Rattus norvegicus: one gene and its partner. The protein of the gene in region 1 purifies or fractionates together with the protein of each later gene. This does not show direct contact. Links are inferred from orthologs where the notes say so. Each region holds a gene or a part of one and is shown on either strand. Other genes may lie near its edges.

The links.
Region 2: the proteins of Nmnat2 (region 1) and Fbxo45 purify together in Homo sapiens (co-immunoprecipitation; 3 studies listed by BioGRID and IntAct, with this or other methods). This does not show direct contact. The link is inferred for Rattus norvegicus from reciprocal best matches to the Homo sapiens genes NMNAT2 and FBXO45.

The regions. Positions count from the first base shown.
Region 1 is NC_086031.1:67,786,746-67,798,463, forward strand, and holds the start of Nmnat2 (nicotinamide/nicotinic acid mononucleotide adenylyltransferase 2), read left to right. Parts: upstream 1-4,631; coding exon 4,632-4,704; intron 4,705-6,039; coding exon 6,040-6,128; intron 6,129-6,817; coding exon 6,818-6,885; intron 6,886-9,031; coding exon 9,032-9,110; intron 9,111-11,718.
Region 2 is NC_086029.1:82,052,556-82,064,144, forward strand, and holds the start of Fbxo45 (F-box/SPRY domain-containing protein 1), read left to right. Parts: upstream 1-3,901; 5' UTR 3,902-3,935; coding exon 3,936-4,262; intron 4,263-7,248; exon of another isoform or gene 7,249-7,391; intron 7,392-11,589. UniProt on the Homo sapiens protein: Component of E3 ubiquitin ligase complex consisting of FBXO45, MYCBP2 and SKP1. Functions in substrate recognition but also plays an important role in assembly of the complex.

The DNA of each region.
Region 1 (11,718 bases):
CGACTCAGTTAATGTTGGGATATTCCTTTTGGAAACCGTTTCTCTTCAAGGTACGGGACTTGAAAGCAAAGGGAAGGAGTCCTTGATCTTGGCTGAGAGAAAAGAGTGACAACTACTAAGACTATAGTAGGTGCTCCCTGGAGACTATGAATGCGGTCTGACGATCAGTGTGGGCAGCTCAAGGTCTCTTGGAGAAGGACACTCTATAGGAGTGAAAGTGGGCCCTGGAAGCTTCGTGAGCTTTCTGTGTGAGAGAGCATTTACTGCGTACTTATTGCTCAAGAGACAAGTCGCCCCACTGGGTGTCTTTGGCATGGGTGTCATCTTATAGCACACTGGGACCCACATAATGATTTGAAGGCAATGTCCACATTGTTTGGCCTACATGCAGCTCAGTGTGAATCATCTTTGGTCCATTTTGGCTCTCATACGATATGTTGACCTCATGCCCACTCTGGCTGTGCACTTTGAGAAATCCATAAAACAGGGGAGGAGCTGAGAGGATTCCCAGCTTTGAACTGGACGCATAGTGAAGTGTTCCGAAGGCGAGTCCAGGGGGCAAGAGGGTGCTGGTTGGACCAGACATGTTGGGCATGAGAAAGAACTGGGCTCCTAATGAAATACATGGATAAGAAAAGAGTAAACAAACTCTCGTTGGATAAAAGGCAGAGTAAGGAAGAGTGGCTCACGGCAGCTGATGGTCAGTGACAGCCAAGGGCCAGATGGATCTGATTCTGAGAAAGGCAGGAGCGAAGGGCCCAGAGATGGAAGGAGGGCTGTGAAACACTCATTCAAATATCAAAATAAAACCTAGCAGATGAAGTGATAGTGTTTGTTTAGAAAGCAAAGTTAGGGGAGGAGAGTAGGCATAATGGTTAAAAAAAAAGAGAAGAAACGAAAAGAAAAGAAAAGAAAAGAAAAGAAAAGAAAAAAGCTGGTTGTTCTTGCTGAGGACAAGAGTTCAGTTCCTAGCATCCATGACAGGCCACTCTCAAATACCTGTAACTCCAGATTAGGGGGACCTGATGCCCTTCTTTGGGGGCAACTGTACCCATGTGCACATCTACACATGCACAGACACATGTCTGTGCACACAACACACACACACACACACACACACACACACACACACACACACACACACACACTGTAGTAGTTTAAATGAGAAATGTTCCCAATAGTGCCGGGTATTTGAACACTCGGTCCCTGTTTGATGGCACTGTTTTGTGAGGGGCTAAGGAATCTGTAGGACAGGGAGCGCTGCTGGAGAAAGCAGTCACTGGGGGCTGGCGTTGCGAGTTTGCCCCACTTCCAGTTCACTATGGTTCTGTGTGGACATGTGAGCTCTAAGCTCCCTGTCCTCGCTACCATGCATACCGGCTGCCATGCCATCTCTACCATGGAGGACTGTGGCCTTCTGAGATTAAAAGCCAAAACAAACTCTTTTCTTTTTTTCTTTTTTCTTTTCTTTCTTTTTTTTTTTTTTTTTTCGGAGCTGGGGACCGAACCCAGGGCCTTGCGGTTGCTAGGCAAGCGCTCTACCTCTAAGCCAAATCCCCAACCCCCAAAACAAACTCTTTTATAACTTAGTTTTAGTCATGACAAAGTTTTTGTCACAGTAATTAGGGAAGCACTGGCTATTCTTCCAGAACACCTGGGTTCAATTCCCAGCACCCACATGGCAGCTCACAACTATAACTTCAGTTGCTTGGGATCCAGCACCCTCACACAGATCCACATACAGGCAAAACACCAATGCACATGAAATGAAAAATAAATCGTTCTTCTTTTTTTTTTTTTTTTTTTTTTTTGGTTCTTTTTTTCGGAGCTGGGGACCGAACCCAGGGCCTTGCGCTTCCTAGGTAAGCGCTCTACCACTGAGCTAAATCCCCAGCCCCAAATAAATCGTTCTTTAAAAAGTAAAATCAACCTTAAGTAAATGGATACCAGAGTGATGTACCCATTAGAATGACTAAATGTGCAAACCCAATAGAATCAAAAGTTAGCAGGAATGTGGAACAGCCATTGTTCTTATTGACTGCCGGTGGTAGGGATGCAAAACGGTACAGCCAGCACGGAAGAAAAAGACAGTTGCTTCCAGCACTAAATATATTCTCCCCATATGATCCAATGAGCTGATTCCTACATATTTACCTGAAGGCACACTGTACCAACACCCACAGGATTATAGCTTTGTCTATAATCACCAAAAAAGCTGGGAGTAATGACAATGTTTCTCAGTGGGTAGATGGACAAGCAAACTGAGAATCAGCTAGATGATGGAATATTATTCATTAATGAAGAAAAATAAACTATTTGACCGTGGTAAGTGTCTTCATTTGGTTTACTACCGTAATGATGAAACACCTGGACCAAAGCAACCCAGGAGGAAAGGGTCAGTTGGGCTTAGACTTCCATATTACTGTTCGACACCAAAGGAAGTCAGGACAACAACTCAAACAAGGCAGGAACACGAAAGCAGGAGCTGATGCAGAGGCCATAGAGGATGCTGCTTACTGGCCTGCTCCTCATGGCTTGCTCAGCTTGCTTTCCTATAGAATCCAAGACCACCAGCCCAGGGATGGCACCACCTACAATGGGCTGGGACCTCCTACATCCTACAGGCTTGCCTACCGTCTGATCTTACGGAGACATCCTCTTGATAGAGGTTCCCTCCTTCCAGATGACTTTCGCTTGTGTCAAGTTGACATAAAACTAGCCGGCACAGTAAGACATGAAGACCTTAAATGCATAGTGCTTAATGGAAGGACCCGAAGAGACTAGATGGTGTGTATCACTCTGACTACCTCGCAGTAAGCAATTTCAAACAAAATGGGTTGGGGATTTAGCTCAGTGGTAGAGCACTTGCCTAGCAAGCGCAAGGCCCTGGGTTCAGTCCCCAGCTCCGAAATAAAGAAAAGAAAAAAAAAAAAAAAAAAGGAAAAAAAAAAACAAAAAAAACCCCAGCGTGGTTGGCAGAGGTCAGGGTGAGAAGGGATGAATAGGTGTGGCACTATATGTGGGGCGTGTGGGAGTGACCTAGCGGAGGGAAAAGTGGGATGGAGAGCTAAGCACCATGCCTCCTGCTCCTGCGCCTGCTCCTGGGCCTGCGGGAGGAATCCTAATCCAGCTGCACTCCAGCTGCACACAGCCTTATCTAAAGCGGCTCCTGGCAGAACCCGCAAACCGATGAGACAGAACAATGGACCAGAGCCCAGGGCTGTAGCAGTTTCCACTTCCTGTCTTCACAGAAATCCCCCTCCTCCCACCTCCGGGCGATCCATTCTCTCCCCTACAGAATTCCCTATAGAGCAAATTAGATCCAACAGGACATCGGATGTAATCTCCCCTACCTTTGCCCCTTGGTTATGTAACCTCAACTCTTATTGGCTGAAGAGTTGTATGTAAGTTTTTGTACGGCTAGATTTGTACTCCTATGCTAGTCTCCCGAGTCTGTGGGAGTCTCCCGAGTCTCTGTTTCTCCCTATTTCCCAGTCCCGGTTCTGACAGCTATAGACTTTAGGCAGTGAAATAACACTCTGTGTGGTGCTTCATGATAAATGTGTGTCTCATACTTATCAACACATGGAATTCTAGAGCACAGGATTAATCTTAATGCAGACCAAGCACAATAGCTAATCAACTGGCACAAACATTCTGCACAAGGGAAGGTCATCGCTGGGGAACCTGTGTGGGAGAGAAGGAAAAGGAGCTGAGCTAAATTATAGGCGAAATATTTCCATTTACTCCAAATTTTTTTCTAAAATGGTATTAAAAAGTAGTGAATTCATTTTTTTTTTACAAAAAGCTTTGACATTGAAGGGATAAAAGAAGCAACTGTGGCAGGAATAATTTTTTAATACACAGAGAGCCACCAAGGTCATGAAAACTTAATTGTAAAATCTACAACCAGTCTTGCTGCCCAACTCCTCCTTCACTCTGGGATTCTCCCACCGCAGAGTTCCCACCTCAGGGTGCCAGCATGGCTCAGTTGGTGAAGTGTTTGCCTCTGGCTGGAGGACCTGACTTTGATTCTTAGCACTCACTCACAAAGGCAGGCTTGGGGATGAAGAGGTGTCTCAGAAGTGAAGAGCATTGGCAACTTCCGCAAAGGTTCCAGCACCCAAATGGCATCTAACAACCAGATCCAGGGGGTCTGAAGCCCTCTTCTGGCCCGAGGGCACCAGGCACGTACTTGGTGTGCATACATGCATACATATATGCAAGCAGAGCTCTCATTAAAATCCATGGCAGAGTCACACATGGTGACACATACCTAAGCTCTCAGTGGGTAGAGACAGTTGGACTTTGTGAGTTCGAAGACAGCCTGTGAAAGACCCTCGCTCTAGTCTCGGAATGGCGTGCCCCAGGAAACACGAGAGACCGGTCTTGATGTAAAAGCAAGAGGCCGTTTAATAATAACGAAGCTTCGGGCCGACATGTATCTCACGCAGGAGACAGGGGAGTCGATCCCGAAACTTAAAAGTTGGGGGTTTATATAGGGAAAGCTAGGGCGTTTTGGCGGGGTTACACACGATTGGCTCATTCAAACATAGCAGTGAGAACAAAGAGAAAGAGTACGTGCTAGAAGTCAGGGGCTTATCAGGGTCTGGAGGACACCTAGTTAAAGCATGGCCCTGAGTGAGCTGGGGGAGGTGTCTTCCTGCCAGGTGTTCTATGAATCAGTCCTGGTAACTCGGGCTGGTTCCTGCATTCCTTTTCTTATTCTTTATGGCCTGCTAGTCCTGCCTGGACAGTGTTTAGCCCTGAGTCTGTGGATTTTGAAGCTTACTTTTTTAATTTTTTCCTTTCACCTGGTCTACAAAGCGAGTTGCAGAACAGATAGGACTGTATGCAGAGAATTCCTGGGTCAAAAAACAAAACAAAAAACAACAAAAGCATAATGTCAAGGATCTGTAACCCCTGTACTTTGGGGAGCAGAGGGGTTCACTGGCCAGGCTAGTTTGGACAGTTAATGACCACCAGGTTCAGGAGAGAAGTTGTCTCAAAAATAAAGCAAAGGGGGCTAGAATGTTGGCTTGGAGATTTAATGAGCACTGTACCCCCAGAGCGGCACCTGCGTTCACTTCCCAACATCTACATGTGGCTCACAAGCACCTATTGCTCCAGCGCCAAGGGATCTGATGCCCTCGTCTGGACTTTCTCAGACATCTACACACACTTGGGTGTGAGTGTGCATGCACACAATCAAAAAGTAAATATTTTTGTAAAAGTAAGGCAGAAAGACAATGAGGAAATCCATTTTGGCCTCCACAAGAGTACATTAACCCATACACCAAAAAAAAAAAAAAATGAAAGAATTGAAAATAAACAACACAGTAGAGTTTGTTCAATGGGCTCCCTTGGAAATAAAACAGGACTAGACTCTTAAAGCTCCCCTAGTTCATTAGTTTTTCTCATGGAAGGGAACCCGGCCTTGCCTGGTCAATTTGGAAAAGCAAATGATGCTCTCAAGGAGGCTTTTGTTTGGCCAGGCATTTTCTCAAGCAACTGTAATCTTGCTAAGTACCAGGCTGATTGTTAATTCTCCACGATTATGTACAGGGCCCTTTAAATTTGTTTTCCTGTTTCTTCCTTCTTGATAATTAGATGAGGCAATCAGAGCATCTTTCATATTCTAAGGAGACTTCACTTTTCTGTTAGGGGATGGTTCCTCTCCAGAATTTCTGCAAGAGACAACAGGCAACAGGAGTGAATTCTAATCCCAAGCTTGAACACCTCTTAATGAGGTGACTGTTTTAAACCCCTCCAGCTGCGTGGTTCCTCCAACACAGACCCCCTACCCCTACCCCCGACACTGGGTTAAGCCCCATGAATTCTCAATCCTTTCATTTCTGGGGCTAAGGTCCACCTCCCTAACCTTTCAGTCACCAATATTTGCTTCGAGGTTGACACCTTCTATTTAAATAGCAAGCACCAAACCTTGGCGGGTTCAGTGCCGAACAGATTGATTTCAATTATCACCTTTAATCCACACCTTTCCTCTCTTGTAATGTGCAGTTTTCTTCTCTTAATTAGAAAGAGCCAGGGATTATCTGCACAAGACTGGAAGATTTATTGTGATTGGTGGTATTGTCTCTCCAGTCCACGACTCCTATGGAAAACAGGTGGGTCCCTTCCTTTGCCCTCTCTTCTTCCTCACCTGATAGCTCCCCTGGATAAAACTGCCCTACTGTCCTCTCTGAGGAAATTCCTGGAAATGCTAAATGCCTAACTAACAGCATTTGGTTTCCCTCCCAGGACCACTGTCAGACGTGGGTATCTGGCTACAACCAGAGGGCCAGCTGCCCACCATAGCCAGCCAGCTGCTCACAAAGAGGAGTGAGCCTGCTCAGTGCAACTGTGCTGGGTTCCAGACTGGCAGCAGTTTAGAAGTTGAGCTGCATTGGAAAAATATTTTCCAAGATTTTTATTTTGGAAAAAAAGCATCCCAATGCCTCTTATGTGGGAACTCTCCCAGCCATTCCTGTTTCTCCCACAGTTACTGTAATCACCAGACTAGGTTTAACCTAGGTCAAACCTATGCAGAATGGCCAAGTGGGCATTGGCTGGTTCGGACCCAGATGCAGTGGGATACACCACATACCTTTCACACACACACACACACACACACACACACACACACACGCACACACACACACAGCATCACCCAGTGTCTGTGTATCAGGGGTACATTCCTCATTTGCTCTCACCATCAAACATGGCCACACTTTGTAATGGGGTGGTTTGGGCTGGTGTTCCTCGGCACTGTGGAAGGCTGAGGACACCTCCTACTCATGGTTTTGTTGCTTCCTAGGGTCTTGTGTCAAGTCGGCACCGTCTCATCATGTGTCAGCTGGCTGTCCAAAATTCTGACTGGATCAGGTAGGGCTGGAATGATGATGTAAGAGCCAGGTGGCCCTGGGCTCACCGGCAAGGAAAAGGAATTTGGGACCTATAAGGGTGAGAGAATAGGAGAGGTATTAGCCCTGTACTGACTCTAATTAGGTAGATCTCCACTGGAAGCCCAACTGTTAACTTTATTTTTGAACCAAACAATCAGGCTCACAAAATTTAAGAGTTAGCCTAAGGAGTTTCTGTCTGTGACTCCTGGGATGTGGCTCTTAGAGTTTCCCAAAACATCACTGGGGGAGGAGCCTGGTCCCCAAACCCCAAATGCCTCTCATTCACCAAATTCCCACTAAATTCCATTGACTCACCCATCACTCCTTGTCAGAGAAAGTGGGTGGCCTTGAGTACCACCCATTTCTGAATTCAGGGTCCCTCCGGGGTCCACACTGACCCCTAGACAAGGTGTGGGGCCTATGAGCAGGGCTCTCTAGGGCATCCCTACCACTGGAACCTGAAGCTCTTTTCTTGATTCTCCACCCTGCCCCCCATTAGACTCACAGAACCACTAAGATGGCAGCATTCACCATGCTCTGAGCCAGCAGTGTAATTACAGCAAGCTTCCACTAATTATGCTAATTATGTCCCCCAAGTTCCTACCGTTATAATTTGCATGAGAAGATGGTGTTTAAAAAAATAATGGCACATCATTTGCTCTTTAATTTCCTATGCTGGAAAAATAAGCAGCACCTAGAAGTTTCCATGAGGAGAGGGGTACAGACCTCAGGGTGCGTGAGGGATGCAGTTAACCCAGGAGGGATGGTCAGGCAGAACTGCAGGCAGTGAACGGAAGCCGCAGTAATAATTAAGGTCTGTGTGGACCTGCACATGATTTGTAGAGAAGCCTGACCCTTGAGGGACTTTCTTTCCGGTTGAGGACTGGAAAGTTGGCTCAGAGCACTCGCTGTTCTTCCAGAGGTCATGAGTTCAGTTCTCAGCACTCACCTTGGGCAGCTTACTTACTGCCTGTAATTCCAGCACTCAGGGATCTCACATAGATAAATAAAAATAAATCTTAAAAAAAAAACCAAAAAGACAGATTAAACGCTGGAGGACAGCCTATCTGTAATCAAGTCAGGAATAGAAACCATACCTCTTAATGCTGTAAATGAATGTTTAATTCCCTGTGGGAAATAAATCCAGGGGGAGGGGGAAACTGGCTAGAAGGCTGTTCCTGCTTTGACATTCTTAGAAAATTCTGGAATCATTCCTTGGTTGATCCCGTGAATGCTTACTGAGCACTACCACCTGTCTCACTGAGGTGACAAAGGGGTCTGAGGGTGAGCCCTTGGGAGGGAAGTTTTTAGCTAGCCCTTACCCAGGGCAGGTGGGAGGGGCTTGCTCACCTCCTATACTTGTGTACACAGGGACAGGGCAGGAGGAGCCAGGCAAGACAGACCCCTTTATTTTTACTTAGTAAGATCTCAACTCAGGAAACCTGAGGTGCCTGCTCATGGCAGGGGGTGGACAGGGATGCTCAACCGCTAAGAGAATGTTCTGAAATATCTCCGTTTAGCAGCTCATTAAGTTGGCAATTGAGGCCATGTGAGGAGGCATCAGTCTGAGGCAGGATCCCTGCTCACTTCCCAGCCTCCTGTTCTTGAGAAGTTAGCTGTCCTGAGGGCCTGCACCATCCAGTTTAGCTTGTCATGCCTTACTTCCAGCCTCAAGGCAATATACCACTGATGAGGTTCTTCTCCAGGGCTTGCAGCCTGGCGAGGCAAGCTTCAGTCCTTACCAGCCCCTGGCTCCCTTAATCCTTCTCACAATCCTGTAAGAGTCTGAAGATTTCCTTCTTCTATAGGAGACATCTTACTAAGCACTATGAATATAAAATTCACCTAGCCCTCACACTAGAAAGACTGCTGAGCTCAGGTTAAGCTCAAGTTAAACTCAGGGAGACTCGTACTACTCTCTTCCTTACCTGCCTATGCAAGATTCCTCTCATTTTACAGAGAGGGAAACTGAGGCTCAGGAACATATTCCACAGCCTGGTTTAACCTGCTTTGAGATCTAAGGACACAGCATGACCAGGCTTGCTAAGTTCCCTGAGCCTTGGGAGGAAGCAAGGTGGAAAGAGTGCATGAATGGAAACTGAGGACATCTTCTCTTGTCATGGCAGGGTGGACCCATGGGAGTGCTACCAGGACACCTGGCAGACAACCTGCAGTGTGTTAGAGCACCATCGAGACCTCATGAAGGTAAGGTGGGCCATGGCTGAGGGTGCATGGATGAGCAGGGTGCAGGAGAAGGGCTGATGCCTGTTGATTTGTTGGATGGCATCTGCCATCTGCTTCCCTCCCAGTTGTGAGGTAGACCAGCCTGTGTATGAAGCTAGAGAAGACAGTGAATTAGAGCCCTAGAGCATGTCGACCTTGCTGCCTACCTTCTACTCTGGCACAGCCTCCTGGTATGACAGGATGCTGTTGGGGCTGGATTTGGCATGGGCAGCTATCATCAGCTGGAGAAGCAAACTCTAGGTGGAATGAAGAAGACTAGGGTTGTAAGGGTTGGCGGTGAGGAGAAGACAGGGCAGGGGAATGTACCTCAGTTACTAGAATGCTAGCTTAGCATTGTGATACCCTAGATTTGATCCTTAGTACCAGATAAATTCTGGAAGTGGGGATTTGTACCCCTATATAGGAAGGTAGAGACTGGAGAATCATAAATTCAATGTCATTAGCCTAGGCTAAGAAACATTGTCCTCTTACCCTTTACACGTTGCAAGGTTCCCTCCCCATCTATTAGGACCCACGAATTCCCAGTCCAAGATAAGACGCCGTGTCCAAATGCTCCTTCATTCCCATGCATCCCTCCATCTAAGAACCTCATGGATGACAGTGTCAGGTCTGCTTTATTATCAGGTAACAAAAAGCAGAGAGAGGAGGCTATGTACCCGAGGACACGCAGTGGACCTAGGACAGAGGAGAGCTCCTGAGTTCCTTCCCCACTACAGTCTAGAACTTTCAGTGACCTAGGGCTGGCTGTGTACCAGCAGCCCCAGCCACAATATGGGTACAGTGCCCTCCATAGATCAATATCAGCCCGTGACCTGACCGACAGGCTGACAGACACAGCAGACTGCCCTTTGTGGTCATCTCCACACACTGTGTGGAGCATCTCCAGCCGTACGTTACCCAAAGGGGTCATTCTGATCCAAGGAGAGCTGTATCCCACTCCTCTCCTTGCCATTGGAGGGGCTGTCACCACCTTCTCTTCAATTAGCACCTCCTGGCTGCCCCGCCCTGCACCAACCCCACAACTGGGCTTCATTCTGCTCTGAGATTAGGGTCCCAGAACATCCGAGTAGACCAGCAGCAGGAGGAACATGGAGGACCAGCGGCTGCTACTCAACCTATTATAGTCCTCTGTGGGAGTAGACAGAACCTCTATCTTCAGAATCCTTCATACCTGTCCTGATTCAGTTTTTGATCGTCTTGGAAGGACTGTGAGACTTACTTACTCTCTGGGAAGTGTCCACAATGGAGTGATAAGACCGCTCAGAGCTGAACAGATAACTCAGCAGTTAGAGGGCTTACTGCTCTCACAGAGGACTCATGTTCAGGGGATCTGATGTCCTCCGTCATCTGTGGACACTGCTCTCCTATGCACCTGCCCACACACAGACACACACACATACACACACACACACATACACACATACATATATACACATATCCATACATGTATACACACATACATATATACACATATCCATACATGTATACACACATACATATATATACATACATAGGCACACATATATACATACACACACATACATACACAGATACACACACAGATACACACATACATATACACATACATACATAGATACACACACATACATACGCACACATACATACACATACATACACATACACACATATATACACACACATACATATACACATACATACATACATAGATACACACACATACATACACACATACATACACATACACACATATATACACACATTTACACATACACATACATACGTGACACATATATACACACAATATACATACACATACATACATGCACACATACATACATACATACACATACATTCACACACGCACATACATAGAAAGAATGATACAACTTTTTTTAAAGATACCTCATTTCCAGTATAAGAATGTGTCAGGATAGGTGAAAATGTGCAGTGGTAACAAACAAAATTATCAGTGGCTTACATCAGTTTATTTCTTACACTTGCCACTTGAGTTGGGGAGAGGAGTGTCATCTGGGAACCCATGTTCCTTTTAGTCACATGGAGGCCTTAAAGTGAGTTTCAGAAATGGAGAGTTGAAAACCCTTCTGGTATCCCTGAGCGCCGCCCTAGCCAAAATGGCCACAGGGCCTAGCTATTGTTGGGTTGTCCAAATGCCCAGGCTTTCTGGGCACTTCCTCTGTTACTCATGCCCAGAGCTTGGGCTGCAGCCAGAGAAGCACATTCTCAAGCTGCAGCTGCAGCACCCTGCAAAGGCCGATGATGTAGCTTACAGAGGGTCCACAGCCTTGCAGCCAGAGCTCAGTGCCGCTTCCTCATAACTCCCTGTTTCCAAGCCCTGCGATAAGGCTGGTGGTCCTGCCACAGGACGGTAGACTTGCCTGGAGGCTGGGTATGTAAAAACTGCTGAGGACAGGAGAGCCATGGAGGGCAGAGCAAGGCACAGCAATGGTGGCATGTGTGGCCAATCATTTTCTTCCTGGCAGAGCAAGCCAAATGGTACTAAGGATGCAGAAAGAGAAGAAATGTCCTTGGCCACAGAGCACTGCTAAGTACCGATGTGGCACTGACT
Region 2 (11,589 bases), on another chromosome or scaffold:
TAATTACCAACATTTCAACAGTTTTTAAAGATTGCTTAAAAATTCAACAACCCTTGCCCTCTCCTCTCAAAAGACATTTAAGGACTAAATCTACAAATCTCTAGTTAAATATAAGACTGCTTCTCTAGTACACATCTACAGGAAACCCAAATACACGCCGACTAGCAGGAATAAACTATTAGGTTTTCTCCTAATCTTACTTATCCTTGTTTTTGGTTTTGTTTGTTTGTTATTGTTGTTGTTTTAAAGGGATTAACTCTATTTTAAAGGTACTTTGGGCTAACTTCTATCCTACAGAAAACATGAGAAGTTAGGCAATGAGCAGGCTGTATAGTTAAAAGGACTATTACAGACACATACAGTTCTGATAATTTTTTCCATAAAGGTCTAGTAGTAAGTCTTCTTTTAAAAAAAGATTTTATTTATTTTATGTATGTGAGTAGACTAGCTATCTTCAAATACATCAGAAGAGGGCCTCGGATTCCATTACAGATGGTTGGTGGGAATTAACTTAAGACCTCTGGAAGAACAGTAAGTGCTCTTAGCCACTGAGCCATCTCTCCAGCCCTAGTACTAAGTCTTACTACATCAATCTTTTAAGATCCAAGAACAGTACAGGTCTACACATGAGAAGGGAGGTATTACATTTCCATACACTAAATGAATCACGTGAATATTTATTGATCACTTACATAGTCAGAAAAATAACAAACAACTATCAGTGAGTCTATTTAAAAAAAAAAAAAGAGTTCAGAAAGCCTCAAAAAACTCATTTGGGGGGTTGGGGATTTAGCTCAGTGGTAGAGCGCTTGCCTAGCAAGCACAAGGCCCTGGGTTCAGTCCCCAGCTCCGAAAAAAAAAGAAAAAAGAAAAAAAAAAAACTCATTTGGAGCCACAGAGATGGTTCAGTGCTTAAGAGAACTTTACTAGCTGCTATTTGAAAGGATCACCTTGGTTCCCAGTACCCACATGGCAGTTCACAACCAACAAATAACTCCAGTCCCAGGAGATCCAGTGCTTTCTTTGGACCTCTGAGGGTACCGGGTATCAAATGTGTTAAACACATGCACACCTGTAATCCTAGCACTTAGGAGGCTGAGGCAGGAAGATATTGAGTTCTGGGCCACTGTGGGCTACATACTGAGACCCTCAAAGGAAAAAATGGTGTGTGTGTGTGTGTGTGTGTGTGTGTGTGTGTGTGTGTGTGTGTGTGTGTGAAACAGAGTGCTATGACAGAGTAGGGGAAAGTTATTTAAATATATGTTAAGTCAAAACAATTTAGAAATGAAGTGTTTGCAAGCTGCTGTTGTTGACTTTGTACACTTGAAGCAGACAGCCTTGTAGAAATGTGTCCATGCCAAAATTACTTCCCTCACCTATCGAGTTCCTAAGCACTGTGAGGTCACCTAAAGCACAGAATTACTCATATCCTACCATGATTAGTTTAATTAGATAATAGATTCATTTCCTCCAACTCCTAATTTGATGAGGGAATGCGTAAGAGCAAAGTAGGGCATGTTAAAGGAATCTTTTAAAAGGGTAAAATGCCACAGGGGGCAGTTCCGAGCAGGTAGAATGGATAAAGTCCTGGGGGAGGTGGGGAGGGGAGGTTCATGAAGAGCAGGTGAAGGACCTGTAACAAGAAGGGAGTGATGAAGGCCATCTTCTTACACTTTGAAACCATCCTGGCTCTAGTTGTGTGACGACATGCCACTAGAGTCATATGAACAACTGGGGTAAAGACACAACAGAATGAAGCTGGGCAGTGGGGCATGCCTTTTAATACTAGCACAAAGGCGGCTGTGAATCCAAGGCTAGTCTGGTCTACATATCAAGGTCCAGATTATTTAGGGCTATACAGAAAAATCCAGTCTTAAAAAACAAGCACCACCCCCCCCCCAAAAAAAAAAACAAAAGAGAGCAGAATGATACCATTGGATACTTCAAAGATTCGTCTTAAGACAAGATAAAGTATTTGATAAGTGGATGATCTCTGCCATCAGTGTTTTTTCAGTCATACCTTTATTTATGAATTTCCACTATCCATTTGTACAAGCCTGAAATAGATAGATAGATGACAGAGAGAAATAAAGAAAGAGAGAGAGAGGGAGGGAGGGAGAGAGAGAGAGAGAGAGAGAGAGAGAGAGAGAGAAAGAGAGAGAGAAAGAAAGACCGTCTGAATCTGTCTCACCTAGGGTCCCCAAGTAACTAGAGTCTATACTCTCAGTACTATGGTGCTTTGCCCATGCCTTTCAATCTAACCATTCTATGTATGTAGTTCTTTACTTTCTTTTCAGATCCACAAAATTTAAAGGAAAAGCAATTGTCATTCAGACAAAATTTGGTTCAACATTCAGGAGCCATGAAGAGAGAGGCCATTACTATAATGTGTGGGTCAACATTTCTTCATAGATTTGGACTAAAGTTAGTCCTGATGTGGAGAAACTAAGTGACAACCAAAACAACTCAAAGACTGTGACATTAGCCTAGACACAATAGACAAAAATTTGGGTTACTTGGTGGAAGACACCTTGAGGAAGGGATTAGCAAGGCATAAGCATGTAATTATACCCCAGTAGGGAAGCAGTTGTTGTTCATTTGTTTTTACTAAAAATCAGGAAGTGGATTGCACATAGGTGGATCTCAGGCAAGGTTTCTTGCTACAAAAAATTGCACAATACTGGACTTGACTACTGAGCCTGTGGGCCCTATTACAATAATCACTTCATAGTCTTGAGAATTATAAAAGTCAGATTAAAAGATCTCATCAATGCCTGGCTCACACTGTAGTTCTTTTGTTTTATGTGTATGGCGTGTGTATGCGTACACCTCGGTCATTCGTGAAGCTGGAAGGCTTGGCTCCCCTTGAACTGAAGTTCAAATAATGCTAGGTTCTTTTCCTCCCACTGTTGGGATTACAAATTACAAAACAAAAAACAAAAAACTACACATATTTCCTTAATCTTTTTACTATGAGATGAACCGAATTCACTATATTTTGTCCAAAAGACTGTGACACTTGGTATTCAAATGACCCTTTGAAATTACCCAAACTTGTTTAATATCAAATATAATAAAAACCTGCGTATTTACGACGGTTGCTCAGATTTAGCCACCTTACTTTTAGAATGGATACTGTATAGATGTTCTGTTGAGTCCCCTACTGTCCTAGCCAGGAAAAGACGATGTCAATTTCTCAAGGTAAAAAATAAAGTAAAATGGATCTAACCTGACCACGACAAGAGGTCTCCAACTGCCCAAAGGTAAAGTTAATGGATCCAAGCGAACTGAAGATGAAGGATCTAAGAACTGGCTAGCAAACTTTGTCGTAAACAAAGTTGGAGAATGAGCAGAAAGCAAATGAAACGGGAAACTCCGTAGGAAGAGAGGCCAAGGAAAGCCGACTCAAGGCCATTAGAGGAAAAACAGAAAAACGCACTTGAGAACAGATCAGAATCCCACTAGCCAACAGCCTCATACCTGGGCTTCCAGTTCCCGGTGGCGCGTAGTGATGACCTCAGGCGCAGCATCCAATCCCATCAAGCTTAGGGAGCGAGGCGCCTCCACCGAACAGTCACTTCCGGGCTGAGAGGCGCGGCGGCCGAGCTGGGCGTGCGCCCTTGCTTCTTGCCCTCAACCCGCATGGCGGATCCCGGGGCGCGTCGCGGGCAGGCAGGGCGAGGCGGGTGGTTCCGGCGCCCGCGCTGAGCGGCTACGAGGGGCGGGGACCCGAGTGGCCCGCGCCATCTGCCCTCAGTGAGGCGGGGCGCGCAGCGGACGCCCCCGGGCAGGGGCGGGAGCGGTGGAGGCGCGAGCGGCTGTCGCTGAAAGGGGCGGTGAGCGAGCTGCTCCGGTCTCTAGGCGAGGCTTGGCCTCCCGCGCCGAGACGGGGCGCAGCGACGGCAGCGGCGGCCCTCGGGCCGGCTGGTGAGGCGATGGCGGCGCCGGGCCCGGGGGCTGGGGCAGCCTCGGGCGGCGCTAGCGGCGGCGCCGGCGCCAGCGGCGGCGCCGGCGCCAGCGCCGGCGCGGGATCCGCGTCCTCCGGGATCGGCGGCCGGTTGCCCAGCCGGGTGCTGGAGTTGGTGTTCTCCTACCTGGAGCTGTCCGAGCTGCGGAGCTGCGCCCTGGTGTGCAAGCACTGGTACCGCTGCCTCCACGGCGATGAGAACAGCGAGGTGTGGCGGAGCCTGTGCGCCCGCAGCCTAGCAGAAGAGGCTCTGCGCACGGACATCCTCTGCAACCTGCCCAGCTACAAGGCCAAGGTGAGGGAATCCCGGGCCATGTCGAAGCCCAGTTCCTCTCCTGCCCGGTGTTCTTGGGGTTTACCTTGAAAGCTTGAGTTAGAGGTTTCATCTCACCATCCCGTCTTTCTACGGCTTAAGCCAGTCAGTACCACCCCTCCTTTCCATAACGATCTTTTCTTTGGATTGAAGTTGTGCTTCGTAATCCACCTCACTTTTAAAAATACTAGGTGGTTTCCCATCATTCATTTTCCTCAGCTCTACTTTCAACAGTTTTTGCTCTTAAAGACCAGCCGATACCCTTGATCATATATTTTCCCTGGCCTCCAAGTAGAATGGCACTAATGCATTCGAGGTCGCTTTAAAATGGGTTTAGTTGCTGGGGCTTTTGCGTTCACCATCCCCTTTCTTGGCTCTGATTAATAAGCACGTTTTCATTATTTTCACCCATGTTCTCTTAGGGCCACAATATTTAACGCTTCCAAGTGATGATCAGGGTAGGCATCCTGCTAACTAACTTGTAAGAAAGAGACTTTAATATTACTTCCTCTCATTGGTGCGGTATAACTCATCAAACTGCCTTGTCCTGCTGTTATTGATAACTTTTCTTAGTTCTACTGGGGTGATGTCTCTTTTGTCATGTAATATGTTTATTCCTGTTTTGCTGGGCTTTTGTTGTTGTCGTTCTTGATTCTTGTGCTTTCATAACAAAATTAAAATGCTAACAAACAGGTCGTGGCAGGACCAAGTATTCTCCAGCATACAAACAAAAGGCCTTGGACTAAGGTTCATGTAGGTAGATAGTAGCTCTTCAGGATAGCAGTCATCAAAAGCATATGAAGCTGGATGTGGTGGCGCACACCTTTAATCCCAGCACTCCAGAGGCAGAGGCAGAGGCAGGTGCACCTCTGTGAGTTAGGGCCAGCTTGGTCTGCCAAGTGAGTTCCAGGACAGCCAGGGCTACATAAAATGAGAGACTGTCCAAAACAAGGAGCATATACGAGAGATGATAGACGTCTGACCAGGAATGTAGTAAATATATCTTTTCTTTTTTAATTCTATATTGCCAGTGAGTGTCTAAGTAATTTTTAATGTGAAATAGGTGCACTCTTTCTTTTAATATACATGTATTATTATAAATATGTGTATACACATATTTTATGTCTGTTTTTGGAGACAGGGTCTCACTGTGTGTCCGGGTGGTCTCCAACTTGCCATCTTTCTGTCTGTTCCTTGAGAGTGCTGGGATTATAGGATGGGCCACAGTACTGATATATTCTTATATATTAAGACGAGTTTTCGTCTGATGAGAGAAGGAACACTGCTGTCAATTATGTCAACTACCAAATAAATTGTCTGTCTGTCTGTCTGTCTTTCTTTTTTTCTTTCTTCCTTTCTTTCTTTTTTTCTTTCTTTATTTATCTGAGACAGGATTTCAGTATTCAGCCTCGGCTGGCTTGGAAGTTAACAGAAATCCACCTGCCTCTTGTCTTCAAAGTTCTGAGTCTAAAAGTGCCACCACTCCTGCCACCGTCCCCATCATATTTTTGTACTTATTTTTTCTTTGACACAAGTACACATACTCATGCATATGTGAAGAATACCAGTGCCCACAGAATCTAGAATGTCTACTGCTGTAGCTGGAGTTACAGACATGTGACCTCCCTCTGCAACACACACACACACACAGGAAAATCAGGGGGCACTCTTTTTTTTAATTTTAAAAGATTTTATTTATTTTATGTATGTGCTCTCTAAATAAATAAAAAGGTTTTATTAATTTAGTATGTGCACACTAGAAGTGTGCATCAGATCTCATTACAGATGGTTGTGAACCACCATGTGGTTGCTGGGAATTGAACTCAGAACCTTTGGAAGAGCAGTCAGTGCTCTTAACCACTGAGCCATCTCTTCAGTCCCCGGGGCACTCTTAACTGCAGACTAAATTGATACTGATTTTGGTTTTTCCGGAGAGATTATAGTTTTAAGTTTCTAATCTTCATTATCTTTCTGCTGCGTGCACTGCGGCTCCAAGGTGGGCTTGTCTTACCCAGGTTCTTGTAGGTGACAATTGTGAAAATGCAGTGTTAATTCAGGAGGACTCAGTGTAGAAGTCCTTAGACAGGGAAATAACTAACATGTGGCACACATTGCTACCTAGTGTAGTATAGGAATACTAGCAGTCCGTGGGGAGGAAGAACTTAGGAGCTGAGTGGAGAAAAAGTTTGAGATTAAGATGCCACAAAGCTGAACTTTAAGATGAGGTTTATGATGTTAAATTTTATGAAAAACTCTGAGCAGAAAAACAAGGAAAGCAAAAATGCAAACTCTTACCCACACTTTGCCTTGTGGGGATTACAGTGTAGTAGAGTGCGTGTGCGTGTTCATGTGCCTGCGCCTGCCTACAAGCCTTCCTGCCTTCCTGCCTGCCTCCCTGCCTGCGTTTCTTTTTTCAGTACTGGGGATTGAATATGTGCTAGCTGCATCCCCCAGCCTGGGGGAATAGCTATTAATCTGATCACTGCCGTTGTGAAACTGCATCTGGTAAGTATTATGAGTGAGAGTCACATCTGTTCTGAGTGTCAGTAATGGAGGATTTAACTAGGTACGGAGGTCAGGAAGAGACTTTCTTATAAGACATGATGCACAAGCTTAGTGACACCTAAAAGATAAGTATAGAGGCCAAGAGGAGCAAGAAGAGCCTCTGAGGAGGGACTCTGCTTGTATGAGAAACAAGGTGACTGCCAGTGGTTGCTCTGAGAGTGCAGGTGACGCTGGTTTGAGTAAGATAAAAGGAGTGGGACACACTACACTGAAGCCTTTCTAGTTGTAAGCAAGAACAATGGCCGTGGGGAGTGGTGCCATGATCAGTTTGTGGGTTAGTTTTGACTCCACTATGGAGAACAGGTTGGAATACGATTTTAGAAATGTGGTAGATCCACTAGAAAGAGGGTAGTGAAGGAGATGGGGGAAAATGGACAAACTTAGGAAATAGAGTAACAGAATTTGATGACTGTTCCTCCTATTGCCTTTAGATGTGGCACTAGGATTTTAGGTCATCATAAATTAAAATTGATTTTTTTCACTCAGAGAATATTAAGATACTGGGATTATCTATGTACTCTCTGAAATTTGCGGGATCAAACAGTTTTGTTTTTTTTGTTGTTGTTTTTTTAAAGAATCTGTAGAATGTGGCAGTAGTTTTGAAATAAAGACGAGGAAGAAGGAAGAGCTAAGGATGACTCCTAGATATTTGGCTTATATAATCTAAGTATCACTTGAGCAAGAGTTTGGAGGAAAATGACAGCAAGTTCAGTTGTGGAAGGTCAGAATTCATAGTGTCTTTGAGATATTCGTCAGATTTCAGATAGGCAGCTCCTGATAGCCAAGGGTTAGAAGCAGTCTAGGCTAAAGATAGGAATTTCTAGTTGGACTGAATGAAGGGAAATACTGCTGTAAAGGTGACTGGGGACTGGCTGTATCGTGGAAGAGGGCCTTTGGAAACAATCTGTTATGTATTGTTTGGGCTTTATTCTGCACCTGGAAAACCATACAAGTCTGAACAGAAGAACAGTGAAGTAAAGCTGGGCTTTAAAAGACCAGGCCATGGGATACAGAGGAGAGAAAGACACAACTGGAGGAGTGCCACAGAGAACGACTCTGCATGGTGACAGTAGACCAACAGCTTGTTGAGGGAAGGTGCATCCAGCAGAACTCCCAAGGCAGCTGAGCAAATGCGAGGAGAGTACAACACTGGGAAGTGTTTGGTTGGTTCATTTTGTTCTCCTTCCTTTCTATCCCTACCTTTTAAAAGACTTGTTTATTTATGTTATGTATGAGTACATTGTTGCTCTGAGGGCATCAAATCCTAGATGGTTGTGAGCCACCATGTGGTTGCTGGGATTTGAACTCAGGACCTTTGGAAGAAGCTGTCAGTGTCCTTAACCACTGAGCCACCTCTCCAGCCCCCGTCCTTCTGTCTTATCTCCTTCTTCCATGCTGCTCAAACTAGGGCATGCTTAGCACTCACTGTGCCATTGAACATTCCAGAAATGTTCTTTTTTATAACTCACGCTTTACTTATTTCCAAGTAGTATTTAGTCATCCCAAATATTTTGTATCAAAGTATACCCTAACTTTCAGACTTACATTCTGAGCTAGACCTTTTTCATTTTTGTTTTTAGAAGTGGAATTAGAGACAGCTTGTTGAGAAAGGGCAGGCCCTCTGCAGAAGAAGGGTGAGCTAAGAGCTGGGGAAAGTGTGCACTCAGAAGCCCTGGGCTAGGTCCTCATGCTGTTGAAATAGGAAACCTCCGTTTTTCAGAAAGAGACAGAAACTATGACTTTAATTTTTTGTATTGTTTTTAAAAATAGAGTTTGTTTCTCTGTGTAGCCCTGGCTGTCCTGGAACTTGCTCCATAAACCAGGCTAACCTCAAACTCAAAAGATCCACCTTCCTCTGCCTCAGTGCTGGGATTAAAGGTAGGTATACTTGGCCTTTAAAATTTATTAATTGGGTATTTTTCATTTCATTTGAATTTTTCAGTATTTGTTCTAAGAACAAAGATCCATAATATAATCACAATGCTACTGTCATCTCCAAAATGAAACTAACAGTAATTCCTTAATTCAGAAGTTGCAGTATTGTCTCATAAATGTGAAATATATAGTTTAACTTATGGCTTATCTAATCAGGATCTGTATATGTCCTTCGAGAAGGAGTCGTGATGGGGCTGGGGATTTAGCTCAGTGGTAGAGTGCTTACCTAGGAAGCCCAAGGCCCTGGGTTCGGTCCCCAGCTCCGGGGGGAAAAAAAAAAAAAAGAACCGAGAAGGAGTCGTGAGGTCTGTTAAGGCTATCTTAGTAAACAGACTGATTCTGTCTCCCGCCTCTGCAGCTCATTTGTCACCATCTACCTTCCTTAATGTTACCCAGCATGCTCTTCTCCGTCCCTTCCTATAGACTCTACAGTGCAAAGCATGACCAGTTTAGATTACAGTACATTTCTGTTTGTTTGTTTGGTTTGTTGGTTGGTTGGTTAGTGGTGGTTTTTACAAAATACTTTTTACTAAAGTCATGTGTTTAGAGGTATGGTAGAAAACAAGATCCTAAGTGTGACGTTAGTGAATGGAGTTCAGGAGAGAGGAATGATGGGGATTGGGTGGTCCTGGCAAAGAACACCTTCATGGAGGTGGCGGTAGAAAACTAAGAAGAGGACGCAGATATGGCACGAGGAGGTGGGAACAAAGGGCAGCAGCCTGCTCTGGAAGGCTTTGAAGCCAAGCAGGGCTAGCAGTTGCTGTGGTGCTATCCAAAGGTATTAGCTGCCATGAGATTCAGTGGAAGTAATGTTTTAGAAGAGACTTCTGGAGAGCAGAGGGAGGGAGTCACTGTAAATGAACGTGGTCGAATCAGTTCAGCGAAATCGGAGATTGAGGAAGAGGTTGTTAATATCACTGGGGCAAAGGGAAAAATTAGAGAAGAAGCACCTGGAACTTGTAAGACTAGGAATAGGTGACGAGGAAATCGTAGTTTAACATTATCTTGAGAACTTCATCCTCTTCTTGTCATTCTTTTGATTTAGAATCATACTTGTTGGTGGGGATTTCCTTCCCCTATTCACGTTTATGATGCCCATGTCACACCACACCACACCAACACATAATTAAAAAAAAAAATATAAACAGAAACAGATAAGGAAAAATTAAAAAGTGCTTCGTTTGTCCATTTTCCTTGTGGAGACAGAATGCCCGAAACAAGGACTTACTGTGCAGCACAGCAGCAGTGAGACAGTGACGTGCTGGCTGTGGAAAAATGACCTCGACCTGGGAGCTGGGTCCCTGGCTCTCTAAGGCTCTCCTGCGTGCTGTTGCTCTTTAGGTCTGTAACCTCCCCCTCCTCCCTTTTTTCCCTTCAGATTTATTTATTTTGTGTATGGGTGTTCTTCCTGTATATACCTTGTTCCTTCAGTGCCCACAGAGACCAGAAGATGGTGTTAGGTTCTCTAGAACTAGAGCTTCAGTGTGTTGGGAATTGGTTCCTAGGTCTTCTGCAAGAGCAACAAGTGCTGTTAACTGGTGAGCCATATCTCCAGCCACACATACATACATAGATATATCCACATATAAATACATATATCTGTATTTCCCCCCTCTTACGTGTAGCCCTGGCTGTCCTGGAACTCACTCTGGATACCAGCCTGGCCTCAAACAGATCTACCAACCTCTGCTTCCCAAGCGCTGGGATTAAAACCATGTGCCTCCATGCCTGGCCCTAAGTTTTATATTTTTAAAAGATGAGAATTTGTCATTATTTGTACAAAGGAGCTATTTTTTTTTAATGTTTTAATGTTAGTACCTTAAAAAAAAACTTTATGAAAGGTCAGCTCATTTATCCTCTTGATAGCTGCTCCTTTTAAGTCCTCTGGTTGAATTTGTTTTATTTTATTTATTTTTTGTTTTGTTTTGTTCTGTTGAGGCAGAGTTTCTCTGTGTAGCCCTGGCTGTCCTAAAACTCACTCTGTAGACCAGGCTGTCCTTGAACTCAGAGATTTGCCTATCTTTGCCTCCTCCAGGGATTAAAGGCCTGCACTACTAGTACCTGGCTTCTTCTGGTTGAGTTTGTGTGCTGTCTAGGGGATGTAACTTGGAACAAAAGAGACTGCTGATGTCAGTGTATGAGTAATGCCTAGTGAGTAAACAGAGAGTCTAAGGGAGTTTGTGGTCAGTAAAATCCTCTCTTCACTTTAGAACTGCAGTGACTAAGGTCTTTATATAATATTTTATATAAAACACACACATATATTTTCCTCTTGCATATGCTGGACTAGAACATTACCAGTGAGCTCAGCCCTGACATAGCTCAGGCTGGCCTCAAACATGATATCTACTGTGGATAACCTTAAACTTCAGCTCTTCCTTCCTCCTCTTCCCCAGCAATGAGCTCAGTGTGTGCCACAGTAGGCTATGATTCTTGTTTATTACAGCATTGACGATGTGGAAACCACACCACCTAAGTGTAAATAAAAGCAAAGAAAGTGATGTGCTGAATTTTCATATGCCATCCACACAAGTGTTAACACTGACTCAGGACAAATCTGGTTTCATGTTCACCCCATTCTCCCTCTAGCTATTTCAAAGCAGTCACCATTTATAGTTATTTTATGCATAAACATTTTAGTAATATCTCTATAAAGTACAAGAATAGTTGTGTACATTGTTACGTTTTAAGTTTACTTGTAGAAATTATACTAGTTTGGGATTTGGTCAGTTAGACAGTTGAATTGGTCCCCTCTTTCTTTGAACAGGAGTTTTCTGTTTCCCTTGTTCATTGTGACCTGGCTCAAGTG